Cricetulus griseus: one gene and its partners. The protein of the gene in region 6 purifies or fractionates together with the protein of the main gene of each other region. This does not show direct contact. Links are inferred from orthologs where the notes say so. Each region holds a gene or a part of one and is shown on either strand. Other genes may lie near its edges.

The links.
Region 1: the proteins of Cdk19 (region 6) and Med8 purify together in Homo sapiens (affinity purification with mass spectrometry; 6 studies listed by BioGRID and IntAct, counting the BioPlex papers as one, with this or other methods). This does not show direct contact. The link is inferred for Cricetulus griseus from reciprocal best matches to the Homo sapiens genes CDK19 and MED8.
Region 2: the proteins of Cdk19 (region 6) and Med12l purify together in Homo sapiens (affinity purification with mass spectrometry; 3 studies listed by BioGRID and IntAct, counting the BioPlex papers as one, with this or other methods). This does not show direct contact. The link is inferred for Cricetulus griseus from reciprocal best matches to the Homo sapiens genes CDK19 and MED12L.
Region 3: the proteins of Cdk19 (region 6) and Med7 purify together in Homo sapiens (affinity purification with mass spectrometry; 5 studies listed by BioGRID and IntAct, counting the BioPlex papers as one, with this or other methods). This does not show direct contact. The link is inferred for Cricetulus griseus from reciprocal best matches to the Homo sapiens genes CDK19 and MED7.
Region 4: the proteins of Cdk19 (region 6) and Med13l purify together in Homo sapiens (affinity purification with mass spectrometry; 5 studies listed by BioGRID and IntAct, counting the BioPlex papers as one, with this or other methods). This does not show direct contact. The link is inferred for Cricetulus griseus from reciprocal best matches to the Homo sapiens genes CDK19 and MED13L.
Region 5: the proteins of Cdk19 (region 6) and Med23 purify together in Homo sapiens (affinity purification with mass spectrometry; 5 studies listed by BioGRID and IntAct, counting the BioPlex papers as one, with this or other methods). This does not show direct contact. The link is inferred for Cricetulus griseus from reciprocal best matches to the Homo sapiens genes CDK19 and MED23.
Region 7: the proteins of Cdk19 (region 6) and Med16 purify together in Homo sapiens (affinity purification with mass spectrometry; 6 studies listed by BioGRID and IntAct, counting the BioPlex papers as one, with this or other methods). This does not show direct contact. The link is inferred for Cricetulus griseus from reciprocal best matches to the Homo sapiens genes CDK19 and MED16.

What each region holds. Positions count from the first base shown.
Region 1 is NC_048595.1:33,902,819-33,907,024, reverse strand, and holds the start of Med8 (mediator of RNA polymerase II transcription subunit 8), read left to right. Parts: upstream 1-1,406; 5' UTR 1,407-1,421; coding exon 1,422-1,454; intron 1,455-2,085; coding exon 2,086-2,204; intron 2,205-3,056; coding exon 3,057-3,201; intron 3,202-3,774; coding exon 3,775-3,915; intron 3,916-4,095; coding exon 4,096-4,177; intron 4,178-4,206. Other genes in the region: KICSTOR complex protein SZT2, read right to left, coding at 355-381. UniProt on the Homo sapiens protein: Component of the Mediator complex, a coactivator involved in the regulated transcription of nearly all RNA polymerase II-dependent genes.
Region 2 is NW_023276806.1:92,245,073-92,248,572, reverse strand, and holds part of Med12l (mediator of RNA polymerase II transcription subunit 12-like protein), read left to right. Parts: intron 1-30; coding exon 31-105; intron 106-208; coding exon 209-399; intron 400-1,078; coding exon 1,079-1,240; intron 1,241-2,435; coding exon 2,436-2,547; intron 2,548-3,500. UniProt on the Homo sapiens protein: May be a component of the Mediator complex, a coactivator involved in the regulated transcription of nearly all RNA polymerase II-dependent genes.
Region 3 is NC_048600.1:60,992,662-60,994,835, forward strand, and holds the end of Med7 (mediator of RNA polymerase II transcription subunit 7), read left to right. Parts: exon of another isoform or gene 1-21; intron 22-717; 5' UTR 718-734; coding exon 735-1,436; 3' UTR 1,437-1,674; downstream 1,675-2,174. UniProt on the Homo sapiens protein: Component of the Mediator complex, a coactivator involved in the regulated transcription of nearly all RNA polymerase II-dependent genes.
Region 4 is NC_048597.1:98,644,605-98,647,501, forward strand, and holds part of Med13l (mediator of RNA polymerase II transcription subunit 13-like), read left to right. Parts: intron 1-697; coding exon 698-830; 3' UTR 831-2,897. UniProt on the Homo sapiens protein: Component of the Mediator complex, a coactivator involved in the regulated transcription of nearly all RNA polymerase II-dependent genes.
Region 5 is NC_048595.1:244,070,302-244,073,801, reverse strand, and holds part of Med23 (mediator of RNA polymerase II transcription subunit 23), read right to left. Parts: intron 2,806-3,500; coding exon 2,663-2,805; intron 1,199-2,662; coding exon 1,024-1,198; intron 407-1,023; coding exon 243-406; intron 1-242. UniProt on the Homo sapiens protein: Required for transcriptional activation subsequent to the assembly of the pre-initiation complex. Component of the Mediator complex, a coactivator involved in the regulated transcription of nearly all RNA polymerase II-dependent genes.
Region 6 is NC_048595.1:263,010,347-263,013,846, forward strand, and holds part of Cdk19 (cyclin-dependent kinase 19), read left to right. Parts: intron 1-5; coding exon 6-149; intron 150-304; coding exon 305-374; intron 375-3,500.
Region 7 is NC_048598.1:100,693,907-100,697,517, reverse strand, and holds the end of Med16 (mediator of RNA polymerase II transcription subunit 16), read left to right. Parts: coding exon 1-7; intron 8-1,103; coding exon 1,104-1,296; coding exon of another isoform or gene 1,297-1,316; intron 1,317-1,523; coding exon 1,524-1,740; intron 1,741-2,346; coding exon 2,347-2,430; intron 2,431-2,664; coding exon 2,665-2,791; 3' UTR 2,792-3,111; downstream 3,112-3,611. UniProt on the Homo sapiens protein: Component of the Mediator complex, a coactivator involved in the regulated transcription of nearly all RNA polymerase II-dependent genes.

The DNA of each region.
Region 1 (4,206 bases), about 230 Mb from region 6:
TAAAGAAGGAGACAGGATCTGGGAAGTTAAGACTGCTGTGACGGTTGCAGGGCTTTTCCAAAAAGCATGGACGCTAAAGCGAAATCAACTCATGCTATTGATTACATTCCAGTTGATGAGCTACAAAAACCCGCAAAGTCGGTCAGCTTCAGCGTGGCCCAATGAAAATCGCAACTAATACCCCAAACACGAAGTTTTGTCATTACAACCATCTCTAGATCTGTGGGTGGGAGATGAGGATCAGGATGACATCTGAGTAAACAAAACAGCTACGGCCTCCTCGAGGCTCCGGAGGGTGGAGGCTGCTACGCGCCTGCCCTCTGGGCCTCGGTCCCGCGCCCGCCCGCCCCTCACCTCTGGCTCCGGGCGCTCCGAGGCCATCACACAGCCCTCCCGCGCCGGCCCGGGCCAGGGAGGATGCTCCACTCCTGACCTCTGACCCAGCTAGCTCGGTACCGGGCAGGAACCGGAAGTCGTAGGGATGGCCGCGTTCTGAGTTTTTTGATTGGTGGGCACAGACGGCGGCGCGAGAAACCGGAAGAGGAAGTGGTTGCGCCAACCGGGCCGTGGCAATGCAGGTGAGAAGCCGGTTGGGCCTCCCAGCCGCTAGCCACCGGCTGGAGGGTGGGCGGGCCGAGGACTCTGGGAAGTTGGAGCTGTGAGGATAGGGCAGAGGCCTCGGCTGTTTGGGGAAAGGCGGCGAAGCCGGAAGGGACGAGGACAGCTGCGGGGGGCGCGGGGATTTAGCGCGCTAACGCCAGAGGGTCAGAGGCGTGGGTTAGGGGGAAAGGCACGGCCGACTTGCTTGACTGTGTGAAAGGATCGAATTGGCATTTGGGAAGGCTAGAGAAAGAAGTGGGCTGGGACAGCCCTCGACCTCGACTGTTGGGCACAGGCGCAACAAGGCTTCAGAAGGCTGAAGGGATTGTGGGCCGCCAAGGACGAAAACTAAGCAGTTTGTAATCCGAGGCTGTGGGTGGAACCTAGTATCCAACCTCATCCTTCACATTCTCGGGTTTGCAAATCAGCTTTGTGTCATTCTTCCCGCCTTGTACCCCGTTGCTTAGGGCGCAGAAGTGGAGTAAATAGACCACAGATGGTCAAACGGAAACCCTCTGCCAACACAGCATTTAAAATTGTCTAACGTCCAGAAAGAATGTGTTGGTTTCCTCGCCTTTGTCTTCCATTACTCAGTTTGTTGCACCTGGTATTCCTACAGTGACTGTTTATGGGTCACCCGAGTTTACGAAAGAGACACTGGAATACTGGCACAGAGATGCAGGAGTACACATTGACTCAGCAAAGGACCAGTTGGGGAGGGGAGCTGCAGAGCTGGTGTTCAGAGACAGCCTCAGATACGGGCAAAATGTGAGATTCTCCAGATTGTGTTGAGAGTAGCTGCACTCACAGGGCAGAGGATAATGGCTTGCATGTACTATAGAGGCACCCATGAGGTAATGAGATAATGAACCTCAGGTGTGCCTTCTGGCCTTATATGCCGACAGCACCCCTGTTACCTTGGCAAACCTTTCTAACATGTACTGAACTTTCTGAAAGAAATGTGGCAATACCAACTCCACAGAATGACACAATACAAGGATTCTCTATATGCCCAAGGAAAGCAGAGTTAGGACATCAAGCAGCTGCGTGGTAGGCAGACTGTTTTCCAGAAAAGGCTAGACTTAACAAAGAAGATTGTGCTTTGGCTTGAGCATCTGCAGATTAAGAGAATGTTGGCTTTTAAGAGAGGCAGTCTTTTGAGCTGGGAGGAGAAGAGAATCGAAGTGAAAAGATGAAGGGCTAAGTGATAAACAGTTCTAAGCCAGTTTTGTTATGAAGACAAAATGGTGAGGTCATAAGCAGAAGGGAATTAGGTCTGGTGTAATGTTCCTTTTGAAGGGCCATAGTGTAGGAGGTTGATAGAAGGAATCAATTGGTAAGAGGACTTCAGGCCAGGTGAACAGGTTGAAAGGTCTAAGGGTTGATGCTGTCTGTAACCCAAATACCAAGATAGAAACCAATTTAGCTTTTCTGTATGTGCCACGATCGCTCGTATCTGAGTAACCAAGCATACTGTTGATGCAGAGGGAGGAGAAGCAGCTTGAGGCATCCTTAGATGCACTGCTGAATCAAGTGGCCGATCTGAAGAATTCACTGGGGAGTTTCATTTACAAGTTGGAAAACGAGTATGACCGGCTGACTTGGTAAGGATTGCCAGGGCAAGCCGGGGAGGGAATCCATGGGTGGTGGGGCCAAGCCCCCGGGCTGACAGGACATCTCCAATGATGTAACTATTTATCAGTTTGCAAATATCCTTTTTGATTTGGCAAGAACTAGGTTGCCCAACATTGACAAGTATAGTTTGGCTTAAAGCCTCCATGGCAAGGAAGTAGAGAAATGCCCAGTTTCCCAACGTAGGCTGTTTCGAGGTTTTAATTCTTACGCTTTGACTTCTTTGGTGAGGAGGTGTTCCCCCAGTGGGGAACCATTAAAGCTATATTCATGCTGGATCTCCTTCCACAGATGTGGCTGAATCTGAGATCCACCCTACTCTGGAATGATGGATTCTGTTAACTAGGCTAGAAAGGAGGCTTTTATCCACTTAAAGAATTTTTAGTTACCACAGTGTAACCACAGTTTCTGTTTTCCACTACCTCCAATCCCATTCAAACAATGAGTTACGACTGGCAGTGGTGGCACACACCTTTAATTCCAGCACTCAGGAGGCAAAGGCAGGTGGATTTCTGTGATTTTGAGGCCATTCTGGTCTACAGAGTGAGTTCCAGGACATCCAGGGCTACACAGAGAAACCCTGCCCCCTCACCCCCCCAAAAGGAAAAGAGTTGCTTTTTTTCTACGTCTGTGTGTCCGTGTTGGAAATTGACAGTGTGCTCCTCTTTCCCAACTCCATCATCTCTGCTAGAAAATCTGGTTCTTGCCTAGGCTAGTCATAGGGCTGTGAGTCTTCTGGGGGTGAGTCTGGGTGTTCCAGCATTAGAACTTTAGAGATTACTTTATAGGGAAAAGTAGTTCTGATGACTTCCTACCACCCGCAGGCCCTCTGTCCTGGATAGCTTTGCATTGCTCTCTGGACAGTTGAACACTCTGAACAAGGTCTTAAAGCATGAGAAGACACCACTGTTCCGTAACCAGGTCATCATCCCTTTGGTGCTGTCCCCAGATCGAGATGAAGACCTCATGGTAAGAAGAAAGGATTGAACCAGGGAAATCAGGTCCTTAAATGAAAGTCTGGAGCACAGTTGTTGATTGGACCCTCTGTATAGCAATGAAAAGTAGGGGCTGCTATCTGGAAGACTTGCTTTTTTGTCCTTCTGGAGTCAGGAGTCACTCTTAAATAATGTTGTGAAAGCCAAGGCCATGTCAACTAAGTCCATGACCTTTCTTTTCCAAAAAAAAGTCTGTTCTGCTTGCCTGTAACTTTGTCCAATCAGTCTTTAAAATGTGGGGTTAGGAATTTAGCTCAGTGGTAGAAAAAAGTCCTGGTTTGGTCCCCAGAATGGGGGTGGGGAATCACGAAAGACCAAAACAAAATAGAAACAACAACAAAAAGAAAATTACAGTGCGGTTGTGGAGGGTGGAATTTATTTTGTCCTAGTTCTGATAGAGTGTATGTGAAAAGACAAAGCCACAGAAAGCTACATTTGTGTCTCAGGTTGTGTTGTCTCTAAAAATGCAGTTTCCCACGGAAGAGAAACTGGGTTAGAATCGGCTTACTTGGATAGCACAATAGGATCAATACAATCTGTGTTACAGCGTCAGACTGAAGGACGAGTGCCTGTTTTCAGCCATGAGGTCGTCCCTGACCATTTGAGAACCAAGCCTGACCCTGAAGTTGAAGAGCAGGAGAAGCAGCTGACAACAGATGCTGCCAGAATTGGTGCTGATGCAGCTCAGGTTGGACTGAGTCACTGCCCTGCTGCCCCATCCCCATCCCTTCATAAGAAGCAAGACTTTACCAAGCCTGGGTAGTAGGAGTCTGTGGTTGGTTACAGCTAGGCTGCCTTTGGAAGAGCACAAGGAAGATGCTTTCCCAGAGTCATTTCTAATCACTACATCAATTCCTGTGTGTTGCAGAAGCAGATCCAGAGCTTGAATAAAATGTGCTCAAACCTTTTGGAGAAAATTAGCAAAGAGGAACGAGAATCAGAGAGTGGAGGTAAGGAGGCTGGTTGGCAGAACAGAGTG
Region 2 (3,500 bases), on a different chromosome or scaffold from region 6:
TTAATGTTATATTCTCCATATTTTCTCCAGAATCTTGAGCAGTGGACATTGAGACAGTCCTGGCTAGAGCTTCAATTAATGATCAAACAGTGCTTGAAGGACCCTGTGAGTATATGTTGAAAGCACACATGTGGATCAAATCAAAAAGCAAAAGAGTCATTGATATTTGAAAATCAAGGCTAACTTTATTTCATTTCCCTGACTCTAGAGTTCTGGTTCTGTGGCCGAAATGAACAACTTACTGGACAATATTGCAAAGGCAACGATAGAAGTGTTCCAGCAGTCTGCAGACCTAAATAACAATGCCCCAAGTTCTGGCATAAGCCTCTTCAACCCAAATGGTATTGGAAGTGCTGATACAAGTAGCACAAGACAGAATGGAATAAAGACATTTTTAAGGTATTGCTTTAAGTGACAGTTGGGTTATTCGACAAGTTAAAGGGCAAAGTGAGTGATGTCTTGGCACTTTAGGTATTTTGTTGTAGGTCCAGATACTTTGGAGCCAGAGATGAACTTAAGTTTGATTTATAGTATTACTGACTTTGGGCCAGTCATTAAATATGAAATACTCTCTATGTGTCTTTATTAATTGGTAGTTTGGGTACAAATACAGTAATTTGCATTCATAATAGCACTTGATGTGATTATGAAATCATAATGTAATTGTTTTCATTATGAAAGACAGATTGGTTTGCATACCATAATTTTGGTAAAAGAGTTCAATAGTGAGTTTTAGAATTTAAAGATTGGTTATTCCTTGGCTTGAACATGTGTCCATGACAGTGTCCATAGAAAAGGGTGGTGAGTGATCAGAAATGAGGGATCCAGGAGAGTCACTGAGAACTGTTTAGTATGGAAAATATCTTCCCAGAACAGCACCTCTTATTCCGCAATGAATGTGAGTGGAATGTATAAGCAGTAAGCAGATGTCTTGGTCTTTAGCAAGAGGAGAAAGTACAGACATGATAGGGGAATTTTAGAAGTCTGTGTCCTACTGGCTTACTGTTGGGTTTTTGTATTGACTGTGAGAGCAGAGACCAGCTGCTTTGTTAGGTGTAACGCCTGTTTCTGATTTTAGTTCCTCTGAACGCAGGGGTGTGTGGCTGGTGGCCCCCCTCATCGCCAGGCTGCCAACCTCCGTACAGGGAAGAGTGTTGAAAGCTGCTGGGGAAGAGCTGGAGAAGGGGCAGCACCTGGGCTCTTCTTCAAAGAAGGAAAGAGACAGGCAGAAACAGAAAAGGTATGCTGGTGGATGCCTTCCATCAGGTTAGCATCTGAATGAAGTCTAGCCTCCTGCATCATAGCCATGCCATACTCAGTGTCCACAGTGTCTGTCTGGTCTTGTAGTAATGTTTAGTGCACCAGTTCCCATTCCTGCCTATGTGTCCAAATCACTGCAAAGCTGTTGAAACATGGGTTTGCTGTTAATTCTGACCTACAACCTTGAAATAATTACTGATTTTCTAAAATTTAGGAATCTTGCTCTGTACTCTTGTTTAAGTAGTCATAACAACTGCCAAAACTGTTTTTATGACCAAGAAAAGGTTTCAAAGAATTACTTTTGGAAATAGATCATATTATTGAGGCTGAATATTTATCCTATAAATTTAGCATCCAAGTAGTTTTAAAAAGAAAAGTCATAATTTCTCCATTTTATAAAAATTTAAAAACAGAGATTCTTGTTGCCTGTTAATAATACTGCCATGACCATTCTTTATTGGCCATCTATGAAAAGGAAGCTCCTGATCCAAAGTTTTGGCTTAGATCCATTCTTTCAGAAAATTTTATTTTTCCTATATCAATCAGTTTATCCATTGTTCCCTAACTGAAGATATTTTATGAACATGAAAATTGAAAGAGAATTTTTGCCCCTTTTCCAGTGGAGGCCATGGGCTGTGTCAGAACCTGGCTCTAGATATTTCCAGCAAGAACCTTGCTTTTGGAGGCTCAGACCTTGTGTCCACCCCTGACTTTACCAAGACTATGCTGTTGGTCTTTAAGAAATATACAACAAAAACCCATAGGCGTCCAAAATATTCAAGGTTCACAGGGACATGTGCTTCCTAAAGGAGAGTTTTGTTTGAGGAACTTCTCAATTTTTCTTATTAATCTTTGTGTACACTTGTAGTCTTTGTCATATATATTTAAAAATCTCCCTAGTAACATAAAGCAGGCTCATGACATCGACTGTAGGTTTCTGTTGCCTTGGCAATACCTTACAGAGCAATAGAGCATCGTCATTCACAAGCTTCTCCAGTGGCTTTTTAATCTTGTAAAGTACAGAAATGTGTTACCTTCCTGAGTTTTCTCTGGTGGTTTGCCATTCTGTCCTTTGTCTAGTAGTAAATAAACAAGGGCAGGGAGTCTACTAGACAGATTAACTGTTGCACCAGGGTGCAAGCCATTCTTTCTAACTGTTACTACTTCCTTTGTAGTATGTCTCTTTTGAGTCAGCAACCTTTCCTCTCCTTGGTCCTTACCTGCCTTAAGGGGCAAGATGAACAACGGGAAGGCCTCCTCACATCTCTGCAGAATCAAGTCAATCAGGTAAAGTGCAGTGTGGTACTAAGCCAGGCAGTATCTTTCTGATTGTATTCATTATTTTCCTTTCAAATATGAGATGAGACAGACGTGTCTATCAATGAGGTGCTAGGAAACATAATCCATGTCCAGTTCTGTCTAGCATCATGGTCAGCCTGAGGCTAACAACTTTGTATTAAGTATGCATTGATGGATATATAAAGACTATTAAAGTAAGTTGTCTCATACTGCTTTTTAGGTAGTTTGCCTGGAATCCTGGAGAGCAGAAAAAAAAATTAGAATGTGTAGAATCAAAGAAATGTGTTAGTTGGTGGTGTGAGCTGGTTTATCCTGACACAAAGCCTCCCTGTGATGTTAAGTAGGATTTGATGACATGAGCAAGGCCACTAGGCTTACTTGGTTTTCTTTGTCATCACACCCACTGCATATGAGAAGAAATCTTTTCTCTGCCTAGCTTCCAGAGTGAGCCATTTAAATACAAAGTATTCATGTTTTCTCATAATTCCTAGACTACAGATTCCAGGGCTGAGCTAATAGAACCCTTCCTGACTGGACATTTGCTGTTTCTCCCACCTCTTCTCCCTTTCACTCAAGCCTTGCTAGACTGTGGCTGCCTTCCAGTTTAGGTGCTTGTGCTGGAACAATGCCTTTGAGACATTAGTCTGACCTGCTCCCTCCCTTCCTGCTATTCTCTGCTCACCTTGCCTCCTTAGTAAGGCTGTGGTCACCTTCTAAGTATTTCTGCTCTCATTCTTTGTCCTCACTGTAGTAATATCTGTTTCACCTTCCCCTCTTTCTTTAGTGCTGGGGTTGGATCTAGGACCTTATGCATGCTAGATAAGCTTTCTGCCACTGAGTCCATTTTTAGCTTATTGAGACAAAGTCTTGCCCAGCTGGTCTTCATCTCTCTCAGTAGGCCACATGAACCTTGAACTTCCAACATTTCAGTGTCAGCTTCC
Region 3 (2,174 bases), on a different chromosome or scaffold from region 6:
TCCAGGCTGCCCTGGTCATTGGTTGGTAATTTTTTTCCTCAGCAGTGAAGCTTCATGATACAGTGACAGATGTCATAAGAGCCTCTTCCTCCCACCACACCCCTTTATTTTCAGGATGCTTTGTATGGGTTTATCTTTGAGAAATTAACAAGTGCTAGTGTCTTTTGTGCTCAGAAAGGTTTTTTGTTTGTTTTTATTTTTTTCAATGCCATTACTGTAATTATGGGTACCTGCCTTCTGCTGGAATGGTGTGCCTTTCTAGATGTCTGCTGCACAGACCCTCTTCCCCCAGATGGGCAGGGAGGGGGTGGCAACAGAAGATCCTAGGCACAAAGCAAAAACAAGACACCCTGCACATCCATCCGTAGGCTGTTATCTTTCTTTTGCCTCAGCAGACACCCAGCTGATGTGTGGCTGCCCTAGCTTCCAATCCCCTCAGATTTTATTTATATATGAAAAAGAGTAACTTGTTTATTTAACTGCTCTGGAAAGCACCAAGGAGATAAAGGAAAACAATAGGGGTGTTAACAACATAATCTTTAATTAGAAAATAATTGATGGCCATTCCCTTTTTGTAAATGTTAGTTTTAAATCTGAGATCATCTTGTCTTGGACCCTGTCCTGTCAGAAGAAGGAAAAACATACTCTGAAGTCACTGATGGTGGTTGGGGGTAGTGTTGTCTGGTTCTGCTCTGAATCTGTGTTCTGTTTCTTTAGGTTCTTGATTGTCGACAATGGGTGAACCACAGCAAGTGAGTGCACTCCCACCACCTCCAATGCAGTACATCAAGGAATATACAGATGAAAATATTCAGGAAGGCTTAGCTCCCAAGCCTCCCCCTCCAATTAAAGACAGTTACATGATGTTCGGCAACCAGTTCCAATGTGATGATCTTATCATTCGCCCTTTGGAAAGTCAGGGCATTGAACGGCTTCATCCTATGCAATTTGATCACAAGAAAGAACTGAGAAAACTCAATATGTCTATACTGATTAATTTCTTGGACCTTTTAGATATCTTAATAAGGAGCCCTGGGAGTATAAAACGAGAAGAGAAGCTAGAAGATCTTAAGCTGCTTTTCGTACATGTGCATCATCTTATAAATGAGTATCGACCCCACCAAGCAAGAGAGACCTTGAGAGTAATGATGGAGGTCCAGAAACGGCAACGTCTTGAAACAGCTGAGAGGTTTCAGAAACACCTGGAACGAGTAATTGAAATGATCCAAAATTGCCTTGCTTCTTTGCCAGATGATTTACCCCATTCAGAAGCAGGGATGAGAGTTAAAACTGAGCCAATGGATACTGATGATAACAGCAATTGTACTGGACAAAATGAACAACAAAGAGAAAATTCAGGTCACAGGAGGGACCAGATTATAGAGAAAGATGCTGCCTTATGTGTCCTAGTTGATGAAATGAATGAAAGACCATGAGTATTTTTTCTTTTAGTGAATAGCATCATATATTAGTTTATTTTCTCTTGGACAGTCTTAAGAGGTATAACTAAAAATATAAAGGGACTTTTCTCAATTGAAATGCTGTAGGTGATAATTTAACAGTAAGGATAGGCAAGGAAGTATATTTGAGTAATGATCATAAAAAAGCAGAATGTTTGCTATTGAATGGGATAGTCCTATTTTTGGAAGTGGAATAAAAATTTTAAGAAATATTGAACTGTCATTCTTACGGGGGAGTTATTTCCTTTAAGACTAATAAAGGGCATCAAACTGTACATGTGAAATTACAAAATGTTTAGATTTATTCCAAAACAATACAGGAACTATTTTCCTGATGACTGTTCTACAAACTCAGTATCACAGCCGCTTCTTCCTTATCTTCCATAAAATATCTGCTAGGGGCTTCCCCTTCCCCCCAGTCAGGTAATCAGTCTTCGGTCACTAAGTTTATGTTCATTTTAGACATTAAAATATCTTATGTGCTAACTATATTTCCTGTGTTAGCTGTCTATGTGAGTGTGAGTGCATTTCCTGCAGAGGCTAAAAGGGTGTTGGCTTTTTTTGGAGTGAAGGTGGTTGAAAGCCATTTCTGTGGATGCTGAGAACCAAACTGGTACTATACAAAGAGCAGAATGTGAGCCACTGAGTCATCTCTCTAGCCTCTGCATTATTCCTTTAAAGCCGACGTCTGGTGTTAAATCTGGAAGTTTGCAA
Region 4 (2,897 bases), on a different chromosome or scaffold from region 6:
ATCCTCTGATCCCTCACCCCACCCCCACTGTTGGCTTATAGATGCGCACTCTTGCGCCCTGCTTTACACAGATTCTGGGACATAAACTCAAGTTCTCCTGTCACTAACTGAGCCATCTCCCAGTTCCATGACCAGATCTTAAAAACAAAACAAGCAAGCCAGAAGTGTCAGGTGTCTTGAGAAGATGCATAAGCTCTTCCCAGTGTTCTCTCACGGACAGTAGTTTGGAAATGAGAGGGAGATAGAAGCCTCATCTGTAAGCCCTTGGCTTCCCAGCTCTCTGGTGGAACACAGAACAAGGGGCCTTGTGGTGGGTAAAACGTGTTGTGTAGCCAGGATCCCAGAGCTGAGGTGGCTAAGGCTGTGACCAAGAGTGATAGGGAGACCCTGTCCACCTCCATTTATTTTTCAAGTGACTACAACAGATTAACATTGAGAAACTGGTAAGGCCAAATGTTGGTAAAATAATTGGTACATTCTGTTCAATTCAGTATTGCCAGTATATTCTTATTGTGGCATTTAGCCAACATGAAACATTCAGACTTGCCTCATCGTAATGTTCAGTGGCCTCATGACCCTGGTGGCCGCCATGGTTGGACAGTGCAGGTGTGAAGGAATGCAAGGTGGGCTGTACTGGCTTCGAGTCTAACCCCAAGCCTTATGGCTCAGAAGCTGACTTCTGTGTTCTCCCTGGCAGGTTTGTACTGGAGCAGTACAATGCCCTATCCTGGCTCACGTGCAATCCGGCCACCCAGGACCGCACTTCCTGCCTTCCCGTCCACTTTGTGGTGCTCACGCAGTTGTACAATGCCATCATGAACATGCTCTAACTGGGAAGCGCTTGTCCCTCTGCCTCAGCTCCTCCCGCAGCCTCAGCCAAGGAGCCTGCTCCACTCTACAAATGCCCGGCCTTTTTCAGATCACTCCCCACAGCCCTGCACTGTGACGCCTTCTGAGCAGGCTCATGCTCATTCTGCAGTGTTCATTGCCACAGTGACTCCTTGATGTGTCTCAAGAGGACCTGAAAATTTCCCTAGGAAGGGACTTGAGCCAATGTGTGATGTGTGCAGCCTGCAGTCACCAGGAAATGGTGGCTGTTGGTGACTTAAGAGGGAAACAGAAGACACACTGTCCTTTTGCACAAGAGTCTGCTCTCAGCCTCTGTTAGTGTCAGTCTGTCCAGCCCTCTGGATGCAATCCTCTAGCCAATGGTGGATGCCTGTGGGTCACCCGGACTCCATAACCTGGGACGCGTCACAACTAAGAGCCAGCTCCATCCAGTACAGGATTTAGTACTGGGGTCTCCACCTCTCCAGCCTGTCAGGAGGGCTTTGGTTGGCAGCACACCTTTGTAGACACAGGAGGTCTGGAGACAGCTGCATTTGTTTATTTATTTTTTGTTTTGTTGTAAGGTTTTTGCAACTTTCTTTTTTTCTAATCTTGAGGACCAGGTACAGTCGCTGAAACCCACCAAGACCCACCATAGGATTCTCTGACTACATACCTCTGTCCTAGAAGCCAGAAAAGGAGTGAGAACAAACTGGGGAGACCATGCCTGAAAAGCAGTGTAGTCATAACCACCCAGCAGTAGACGCTGGTACAAACCATCAGGGTCCGAAATGTTCTGCTGTGCTATGTGGCCCGCGTTTGTGTGAATTACACTTGTATACAAAGGCAGTCAGGCTCAGCCCCAAGCTGGAGGCAAGGACCTTAATCACTTCTCTATACAGTCACATGGAAACACCTTTTCTAGAGAATTCTTACAGAAACCCAGGTCTCTTCTTTCATTAGATCAAAAGGGATTCGTGTACATATCACAACCCAAAGTGTTTGTTCAAAACACTTTGTAACAAAACCAGTTACAAACATGGTGATTTTTTTTCTGGACCATAGGAATATTGTTTCAAAGAAATAGTACAACTCAACCATTAAATCAGTACTTGAAGCTGAGCCTCTATGTGGGACTTTAAAAAAAAAATGCCTTTTTAAAGCATTAACAGCTGATTGAAGTATTTTTGACTCCCCCTCCCAGACCTTAGGGTTGACTTTGAAGCCCTGTTTCTAGCCCTTATGTTGTATGTTTCTGTCTGCGGGTAGTGGATGTGGACTGGCTTCCAGAGTCGCCTGGCGGGCACTGAGCCCGGCTTCCGTGGGAGAGTCCTGCAAACTAAGTTCTTCCAAGAGACTTTCATGTCCTGGTTATTAACAAAGAAAAAAAGGAAAAAAATGTAATAATTGATATGATTTTGTAAAAGTATTTTTCTTGAGATAATCTAACGTTTAAAACATTATATTAAATAACACATGGTGGGAATGTGAAAGCAGAGAAATAACTTGTAAATGGGTGATTGTTCTCTGTCCCACCAGCTGGGGGGGGTTGACTTTCCAATGTATAGCTTAAAAAAATCTGATCTATCAAACCATTTGTATCTAATGTGTACAGTGTAAAATTGACTTAAAATACCGCAGTGCTATTTTTTCTTATCAGAGAGGAAACCCTCAAGGCCTTTTGAAGAACGTAAGATGATGGGGATGTAAACTTGTATAGAGTCACCCCGGTGAAAACGGACTGTAAAGTACATATTTGTAATCTTTTACCACTTGGGGTTGCTTTTTCTCAGAATTCATCAGAACTTTGAATATCTCTCTCTCTCTTTTTTTTAAATGGGCTGTTTTTACTGCAGGGGCTTTTCTTCCCTAGAAACCCAACTCTACACAGAAAAAGAAAAAAAAAAGGAAAAAAAAAACACAAAAAACCAGAAAAACACTATAAAAAGTTTTAAAAGAAGGCAGCAAAGGGTAGTTTTCATCTGGTGTCTTTTATTTAAGTTTTTTAAGTTAAGAAAAGCTGGTGACATATTTATACGTTTTTGTGCAAAAATAAATGAATGGCAATA
Region 5 (3,500 bases), about 19 Mb from region 6:
AAATCTTTGGGAATTTCAAATTAGTTTGAAAGCAGTTATGAAACAAAACCCTTAGTTAGAATGGTGGTGCCCTGAGCTTCCATTATTAACTGATCATATGGAGATGGCAGAACGGGCACCTCCTGAGTACAGTCTGCCACTGTGGCCTGAGAGGAGCAAGACACTTCATCTGCTAATGTGGCTCTCACAGTCTCTACCTGTGACATGGTTGCCCTGGCTAAGGTCAGGATCATGGTCTCTACCTGTGACATGAGTTGCTCTGGCTAAGGTGAGGATCAAGGCTCGGTTCAGTTCTTCAGATTCTGCTGACAGCACCGTTTTGGGATCACTGAGGAAACGTGTGAACTGCGGTTGGACCTCCGAGCTCCCTAGAGCTGTGATGAGCCTCAGCGCAGTGCTCTCCACACTGAAAGCAGCAAGAAAGCACAGTTCACATTTATGCAGTTAGATCCAATTGTAGAATTATTAAACTGAAAGGACACAAAGATTATACATTACCTTTCTTTGACATAAAAAAACCTCCCTGTTTGATGCTAAATTTTACAATCAGAAGTAGCTGACCTTTTACACATGCGACAAGAAAGAGCTTATAGACTAGATGAAAACCCTCCGAGACAAACAACACGTCAGTAATTGTATTTTTACTGGGTAAGTAGCACACACTTGCAAGGTCAGCATTTAGGAAGCACTGGCAGGAGGATCAGGAATTTAAATCTTGCCTTGGCTACAAAAATGAATTCAAGGTCACCTTACAATACACAAGACCCTGTGTTACCTCCCCCATCTGAAACATATTTTCATTTATATCAAAATTAAAATGACACTTTAACCATGACTTGAAGTGTATTTAAATACAACTTCTATTAAAAACTTGGATTCCACTACTGTGTTAGAATTATAGTATCTTAGAAACAGAATTTTAATTTTACAACAAATAAGAAAAAAAAGAGGGTGGGGGATTAAGTCCCCCACTTGAAAGCACAAGCGTACCAAACCCGAGGAAGGGCAGTCTGTAGCACTCACCACAGATGGAGCTGGTTCTGGTTGGTTTGTGCAACTGCAGCCAGCGTGTGGAGATGGCTGAGGAGCTGCACCCTGTAATGAGGCTGAATGTGGTGCATGCGGTAGCTGAACATCTCCAGAAGGGTGTGCAGAATGCCCCAGGCGTTCGACTTGAAGACAGTAGGCAAGAGCTGACCTGGAGAAAGAAGAATTCCAGGCACCAGTTACTAAAAGGGACAAACTTGGATATTTGAAGAATATCACACTCAGGATATATACAAAAATGTAACTATAATAACATATACACGCAAGTACATACACAGTTCTACTTGTAGGGGTGAAAAAATCAGAGCCTACATACACATTGAATTTATCTTTCCTTTCTAGAGTTTGATAAGTCAGGCTCAAGTTAAGATGGGAAAATTAAATGAAAGCAACCACACACAAAAAACAAAACCAAACAAAAGAATAAAAGCCCATCAAACTGCCAACTTGCCTTGCTTCTCAGTTATCTTTTACAATATTTCCATAGTCAAGATTTATGAATTTTGAGTATGAGAGACATTCCTTTCTCTCTTTTTTATAGTGCTGGAAATTAAACCCAAGGGTTCCATTACCTAGGCTGGCAGTGAACTCTTACACTCAAGTAATTTTCCTGCTTTAACCTCCTCAGCAGAGACTACAGGTGTACACCATTGCAATTAGCACAATTATAACAGTCACTTTTGTTTTTTTGTTTTTTTTGTTTTTGAGACAGGGTTTCTCTGTGTACCTCTGACTGTCCTAGAACTCACTATGTAGACCAGGCTGACCTTGAACTCAGAGATGCACCTACCTCTGCCTCCCAAGTGCTGGCAGGATGTATGTGCCACCACTACCTAGCCAGATTCAATTTTTAATTAAAAAAAAAAAAAAGGCAAGGTGTGGTAGCAGCTACCTTTAATCCTAGCACTTGGGAGGTAGAGGCAAGAATCAAGAGTTCGGAGCCAGGTTCACCAACATAAAAAGTGAGACGCCAGCTTGTACTGGACTATGTAGGAGATACTGTCTCAAAAAAAGCCAAAAAGCAAACCAGAACAAAAAAGCTAACGTCTTTCCTTGTTCATTCTTTCTTCCATCCAAAGAAAGGTGGATTCACATCTAAGAGAAAAAGAGTGACTATGGTTAAAATTCAGGCTATTGGTGAAATGAATCACAAAGATGTTTCCAGTTAGAGAGCACCTATTATGTAGAACTGCTAACCACTAGCTAGCACTGTCTTCTGCAGTGTCCGAAAGTCCTTCTCTACTGCCAGCCAGCCTTAGCACTAGCCTCACCCAGCACTTCGGCCTCTAAGAATTCATTTGCATGGGAGAGGACGTTAAGCTGAGCAGCCCACCTGAGCACCTAGCTTACTGTCGTTTTCCTGCCATGCTACTTCCAAACAAGCTTCTTTCCCCACAGACATTAAGAAGCTCTCCTGTCGCACATTTTGCTTTCTTCTCTATCACACACTGTCTGTCACAGTGCATCTCTCTCAGTTGCTTGCTTTACTCCCTGTCCCCTGTCTGTCCTCAGCAGTGGGCCTCATGCCTGCTGCATCCTCTGAGAGCACCTAAAGAGTACTCCTTAAATTAATGAACATGTTAGTCATCAGAAACAGCAGTGAAGCTTGTCTTACTGATAAATCCTTTGATGCCCAAAGACTCTATTTCCATGTAGACCAGTAAGCGACTGTAAGTCTCCACCAGAGCTGGGGCTAAGGCGACACTGGATTTTGCATGAGCAAGTTTTATCACTCTGGTTGCAATGCTGTGTATAAGGCTGAAGAGGAAAAAAAGCACAAAATAAAAAAAAATGTGTCTACATAAACACAGGGCATTCTAGTCATCAACAATTTATAAATAAACTTATAAATCTGAAATGAAATGGTTCCAATGGACTTAGCTCACTTAACATGTCTAAGCTGTGCTGGACACTTGGTAATGATGGCCTGAACTACTGGAAATGAACTATGGTTTCTCTGGTGCTTTAGGGCTAGGGGTGTAGTTGGTTCAAAATGCAGAGGGATCCCTCTTCTCTGGAAGAGCAACCTCTCCATACAAGACCTAAGAGCATGCTTGGGCACCTTTAGTCTGTTTCTCCTCTCAAATAGGCAACTAAGCATTGCTGAGGAATAATAAAACATTTATCACCAAATTATTTAATAAATTATTGCAAAGACCCAAGTGCTTGATTCTAGCAGGGCTTCGCTCCAATTTGTCACATGCACAAGTACTACAACATATGGTCTTTTACAATGTTTATCATATGAGAGAAAAAAGCACGGCTTTTGTAGAGCTGCCATACAGACATGTTTTCTTTGGCCTATATAGTATTGTCTTAGGTTTGCACCAATACTCGAAAACTGAGAGAAAAGACATTTCTGGATTGCCTAGTCCTTCTCAAAAAACAAAACAAAACAAAGCAAACAAAAAAACATTTTGAAAACCTAGACTAGGCAGCATTTTACTACCCAT
Region 6 (3,500 bases):
CATAGATATATGGGCGATAGGCTGCATATTTGCTGAATTGTTGACTTCAGAGCCTATTTTTCACTGTCGTCAGGAGGATATAAAAACAAGCAATCCTTTTCATCATGATCAACTAGATCGGATATTTAGTGTCATGGGGTTTCCTGCAGGTAATTTGTTGCCCTTTCAAAATACTATTTTGAGTTATATTTCAAAAGTGTTCCTTTGTAAGAGCATGCATAAAGTTTGTTGTATGTTTATTTTTAAACTAAAAGAATTAGGAGACTTTTAATAAGATACTTTTCTATTAAAATTTTTTTTTAAGATAAAGACTGGGAAGATATTAGAAAAATGCCAGAGTACCCAACACTTCAAAAAGACTTTAGAAGAACAACGTGAGTAATTCTGGATTACCACAGTCCATGTGTGCTGGGAAAAACAAACGAAAATCTGAGATAAGTAATTCCCGAACACCAGGAATTAATTTTCTGATAGTTCCAGAGGCTGGAAGTCCAAGATGAAGATGCTGTCAGGCTTGGTGTTTATCTGTCTGCTCTCTGCTTTGAAGAGTGCCCTTGTTGCTGGTGGGAGGGCAAAGAGTGGGAACTGTGTAATATCTCTCCTTCTAAGATGTTAATGCCATTCAAGGATGCAGAAGCCTCCATAACCAACACCTTTGAAGGCCTCCCTCCCTTTGATACTTACATACTGGGGATCAGATTTCAGCATGAGTGTTGAGAGTGATATAAATACTCAGGCTCATTAGTTATAGAGTGTAGCTTCAGTAGGAAAAGTTAGCCCTTTTCAAAAAGGATATAGATTTAAACCAGCAATTCAGGTGTTAGTTGACCTTCATGTCTGTAATTTAAAGCATATTCCAAATGATTTTAACATATATATCCAATTTAGGGCTGTGATTTTTAAAAACAAGGGCCAGGCCTGATGGCACACATGTTTAATTCCAGCACTTAAGAGGCATAGGCATGTGGATCTCTCTGAGTTTGAGACCAGCCTGGTCTACAGAATGAGTTCCAGGGCATCCAGGGCTACACAGAGAAACCATGTCTCAAAAAAAAAGAAAAAAAAGAAAAAAAGAAAGAAAGAAAGAAAAGAAAAGAAAATAGAAACAGTTACAGTTTTAACATATTAAAGGTCTCAGTTCAATACTAGAGCTGTGGTTTTATTCCTGTCTGAGTAATGGTTGATGACCGAGATGCTGCAGTGGGAAACTAGGACAGATGGCAAGGAGGAGCCATATGGTCCAGGATCTGAATAAAGCAAACTGTGTATGTTGAGTAGAGGCGAAGGGAGTGCAGAGGCAGTAATAAAACCCAGGGTTCTATAAGGAGCAGAACTGAGGGACAGAGAGTGTTTGCTTTGTTAGATTGCCTTATAGGATGTAGTCCGTTAGTCCAACGATTGGTCATCTCATAGTGGAGAGGATGAGAATTGGGTAGTTGTTCAGTCTGCAGGCTGGTGACTGTCTCAGCAGTCTCAGTCTGGAAGATCCATGGAGAGCTGCCTGACTTCACATCGGCATTCCAAAGGAGTTGTTTGTAACACTGGTGAAGAAACAGCAACAGTAACAGAATAGGAAGACTTGCCGTTAAGAGTGAGGACAAGCAGGCAAAAGCAGTTTTCTTCTTCATGTGTTTTTATCTGGGCTGTCACCAGGGAGATGTTGCCTGCATTTGGGGCTGGGCAGGGCAGGGCTGGGCTGGGGGGGTGGGGGCTGTGTCTTCCTGTTTCAAATAATCTGATGGAAGGAAATTCCTCACATTCCCAGCACCTCCTTGGTAGCTCACAAGTGTCCATGACTCCAGTTTCATGACGTCTTATACCTTCTTCATGCCTCCAATGGGCACTGCATGAGCATGACACAGAAATACGTGTGGTCAAAATGCCCATACACAGGAAATAATTTTTAAGAAAAAGAAGGGACTTGAGAGATGCCCTTTTAGCCTCTGCAGAAAAACACCCATACACATTAAAATAAATATATAAATAAAACTAATGGTGATAGTAAAACCCCTCACAGGAGTACCACAGTTTACCACCAGTAAAACTGAAGTTTCCAGTTTGTACAGCTTACATGTCCCTTGCAAAGGCCAGGGAGGTGGGTAGAAGCAGCAGGAGCCTGGTGACCTGAATGTGGAAAGCTGGGTGTGATGTCCCTCTAGCCCCTATGTGTTGGGGCACATGTAAACACAAATATGTCTACCTACCTACTTACACACAAATGCATGTCTTTTTAAAAATGTACCAAGCTTGGGACTAGAAAAGTATTTTAGATTTGAGGGTTTTGTTTTTTTTTTTTTTTTCAAATTCCAGAAGTGCTTTGGATTTCAAATTTTGAGGTTAGCTCACGGACCTGCATATATCACTCAACATTTTACCCATTTTTAAATTCACTTATTAAATTGCTGTGATCATTTGGATATTAAACTGCTGTGATAGTTTGGATGTGATTGGCCCTCATAAAGTCATAGGGAGTGACTCTTAGGAGGTGTGGTTTTGTTGGAGTAGATTTGGTCTTGCTGGAGGAAGTGTGCCACTGTAGGGATGGGTTTTGAGGTCTCGTATATGCCCAAGCCACACTGACTGCCTCAGTCCATTTCCTGTTGCCTGCAAGATGTAGGACTCTCAGCTACTTCTCCAGTACCATGTCTGCCTGCGTACTGCCATGTGCCACCATGACGATGGACTAAACCTCTGAAACTGTAAGCAACCCCAATTAAATGTTTTCCTTTATAAGAGATGCTGTGGTTATGGTGTCTCTTCACAGCAACAGTAACCCTAAGATAACCGCCAATGGAATCTCAGCCTGAAATAGAACCCCCGTCTGCCCTCTTAATCCTAAACCTCTGTGCCTTATATTTCATGTCCTAAGAAATGGCTCCATGATTCACCTAGTTGTCCAAGCCCAAGGCCTCCTGTTTCACTCTCATGCATTTGACTTTCCCTTACCTCTCCAAAGGATTAGCAGAGCTGCTCGATTCCTTTTTTCTAGAAATGCTTGGAATCTGTTTCTGCCCATCAACCTTGCCAGTATAGTTAGAACAGCGGCGTGCTCTGCTTACAGTTCCGCAGTGGCCTTCCTGTAGTATTTCTATCCCTGTTCAATCTGGGTGTGGTAGCACATGCCTTTAATGGCAGGCTGAAGAAGTCTGATCTCTGAGATAGGCCAGTCTGGTCTACATAGTGGAGCTCCAGAGCAGCCAGGGTCATAATAAGCCCCTGTCTCAAAACAAAAACAGCAGCAAACAATAGAAATCACTAAAGCAAAATATGTTGAAAACTGCAATCTAGAAACTACTTTATTTCAATAAAATATTATTTCAAAAGTAAAAGAATATTATCTTGCTTTTATCAAAAATAAAGAACTTCCAAAATACTTTGCAAATTAATTGCTAAGAATGACAGTAGATTTTTTTTTGTAACTGTTCTAAAGTGTCAGCTCCAGGTAGCTCATTAGAAAACAAGGCAAGGCTAAGGGAGTCAGGCTGTTCACTAGAAAGATG
Region 7 (3,611 bases), on a different chromosome or scaffold from region 6:
CAACCAGGTGAGCCCGCCTCCCGCATCAGCCCCGCCTCCTGGTCAGCCTGCCCAGCCAGGAGAGCCCCAGCTGCTCTCAGCTTCCCTCCCATCTCCCCCCACAGCCTCTGTTTCCATGAGCGTTACTGTGAGGCTGCCTCCCACTGACGGTGCTCCTGGCCCAGAAGCGGGTGACTCTGCCTCTCTGTCTGTCCCAGGTCATCTGAGCCTTCAAGGGCCTGGGCTGCAGGATCACAGGTTAAGCCACTGGCTTCCTGGGTTCTGTGGGAGATTAAGACAGCCACACTAGGGGGCTGGAGAGATGGCTCAGAGGTTAAGAGCACTGACTGCTCTTCCAGAGGTCCTGAGTTCAATTCCCAGCAACTACATGGTGGCTCACAACCATCCGTATGAGATCTGGTGCCCTCTTCTGGTGTGCAGATATACATGGAAGCAGAATGTTGTATACATAACAAATAAAATCTTAAAAAAAAAAAAAGCCAGCCACACTTGCCTGATGGGTGTCTACCAGGTCTCTAACAGCACCAAAGACATTGGACTGGTCATTTCTTTTTTCTTTGGTTTTTCAAGACAGGGGGTCTCTGTGTAGCTTTGGAGCCTATCCTGGCACTCAATCTGGAGACCAGGCTGGCCTCGAACTCACAGAGATCCGCCTGCCTCTGCCTCCTGAGTGCTGAGATTAAAGGCATGAGACACCAATGCCAGCTTTTTTTTTTTTTAATGTATATGTGCTCCATCTGTATGTATTCCTGTACACCACAAGAGGGCACCAGACCTCATTATAGATGGTTGTGAGCCACCACGTGGTTGCTGGGAATTGAACTAATGACCTCTGGAAAAGCAGCCAGTGCTCTTAACCTCTGAGCCATCTCTCCAGGTTTGGACTGGTCATTTCTGAGCCACTCTTGGTCTGTAGGGCACTGAGCATAGTTCTGGCCTTCCCCAACTCCGTGCCCACTGTAACCCCCTGTGGTGAAGGTCACACTGCCTCCAGACCTCACCCAGGGTCCAAGGGTTAGCTGGTGACTGACAGGCCCATACCCACTCACAGTATCTCTGGGGCTGCACATATCCAGCACTCATCCCCAGTGTCCCCACCACAGGGCTCCCCACTGAGGCCAGGACACAGCTTCCTGCGAGATGGTACCTCTCTGGGCACGCTGCGAGAGTTGATGGTTGTCATCCGTATCTGGGGCCTACTGAAGCCCAGCTGCCTGCCTGTCTACACAGCCACCTCGGACACTCAGGACAGCATGTCTCTGCTCTTCCGGCTACTCACAAAGCTGTGGATCTGCTGTGAGACCTTGTGCCCTCTGGTCATGGCTTCCCACCAAAACACAAGTTCAGGCCTAGCCCACCACCAAAGTTTAGACTTCTCACTATTTCCCTAGTGCTTGGGGTGCAGGTCCCTAATTCAGAGGGCAGACAGAGCCCTGGGGAGGCGGCTGTGGGTACCGTGTGGGTGACAAAGTGGCTTCCTGGGAAGGCTGTTGAGTGTGGTGACCTCCATCCCCTCCCCACAGGCCGTGATGAGGGCCCAGCCAGTGAACCCGATGAGGGCTTGGTGGATGAGTGCTGTTTGCTGCCCAGCCAGCTGCTGGTGCCCAGCCTGGACTGGCTTCCTGCCAGCGACGGCCTGGTCAGCCGCCTGCAACCCAAACAGCCCCTGCGCCTGCGCTTCGGCAGGGCACCTACTCTGCCAAGCAACACCTCCACTCTGCAGCTGGATGGCCTTGCCAGGTGTGCTCACCTGCCCGTCCTGCCTTCCCCTCATGCTCTGCCCTGCCTTGATCATCCTGCAGCCCCTGAAAGTGTCCACACCACAGGTTCTCTCAGACAGGGGTTCCAGCATATTCTAGAACCTGGTGTGTCTAAGGACCAAGTTCTGTTTCATCAGGTCTCTGCCATTAGAGAGAACTTTGGCATTCCAACCTTTGCTGTGTGCATAGAGGTGTTTGGTTTTTTTTTTTGTCTCATGTAGCCCAGGTTGGCCTCAGACTCCCAGTGTGGGAGGAAGGTGGCCTTGAACTCTGATCCTCCTGCCTCCAGCTCTCATGCACAGCTTTGGGTGTAGAATTCATTTATTCCCACTCACTGATTTGTGGAGGCTGCAGTAAGCAATGCTGGTCTCAGGATTTGCTGATGCCCGTCTCATGGTGAGGCCTCTGCCCCCTCCTTTTTGTACGTGTTCTCATCAACCCATATCCAGCCATGGTTGGAAGGTTCTAGGAAGGCCCCGTCTCACCAGGAAAAGGCCATCGGCTATTGCTTCTTATGGTTGAGCCCTGGCTGAGATGGCATTGTGGACCCAGCCCCCACAGACCCTCACTCCCCTCTCATCCCCAGGGCCCCTGGCCAGCCAAAGATCGACCACCTCCGGAGGCTGCACCTGGGCGCTTACCCAACTGAGGAGTGTAAAGCCTGCACCAGGTGAGTGGCTGTGGCCAGACTCAGGGTCCCCTCTGCTTCCCGCCTGGGCTGCAGACAGAGCCTGGGATCTGTAGGGCCAGGCAGCTTCAGGAGGCCTTTGGGCATGGTCTGTCATACCCGGGGTGTGGATGGCCAGGGCTTGGGGTGCTCCATTTTGCCTGCTGGCATCACTGCAGGCAACAGTATTTCTGGAGTTGGTGGGAGGGTGAATATCACCAGTCCCTGGCTCCCCAGGTGTGGCTGTGTCACCATGCTGAAGTCACCCAACAAGGCAACAGCCGTGAAGCAGTGGGAACAACGGTGGATCAAGAACTGCCTGTGTGGGGGGCTGTGGCGGAGAGTGCCCCTCAGCTGTCCCTGAGTTACAGCCATGCTCTGAATAGATGCAGGGACCTTCTGTGATGGAACATTGACATTGCTGTCCTCGTCAGAGGCACTGGCTCCCACCAACAACCCCGGGTCTGCCTCTTCTTGGGGGTACAAGGCTTGTGCCACCTCCAGGGCCTTAAGTCCCATGGTCACGCCCAGGCCAGCTTGAAGGAGCTTGGCTGTGTGTCGGTCCATTCTTCAAAAGGCCACAGTCCATATGCTCCTGTCCAGGTTGGGATTGTCTCCCTCAGTTTCCCTTTTGGGCTTATGGGAGTGGAAGGCAGGCCCAATAAAGTCCTCTTGTACACCAGGCATTTGCTATCACGATGGCCCCCACCACTTCTACCCACCAGGTGAGGCTCTGTGCTGAGGGGCCCACTTGGATGGAAATTGCTGGGACCATAGAGAGCTCTGCCCCTCCCCACTGCCTCTCATCTCCTGGTCTCTAGCAGCCTTTGCTGTTGGTCCCCAGGGGTCCGGCCTGATTCAAGCTTCCCCATTGCATCTGCCCCCTGCAGTCAGGAGCCTCAAGACCCAGGCCTTAAAGATCTTGGTAATTGGTTTTGTTGTTTTCTTCTTGGAACCCTGTGGAGCAGAGTGCAGGGCAGTGGCCACTCATGACCTGGGACTGGGGAGGGCTGCCTAAGTCCTCTGCTCCAGAGGGGTCATGTTCCACCTCACCGTGCTCTGACACAGCTTGTGAGAGGAGCCACAGACAAGATAACAGGGCCTGGTAGGATCCCCCATCCTGGAACCAGCTTTACTCCCCTACATTTTATTATGTAGCTGGAGATAATCTTGAACTTTTGATC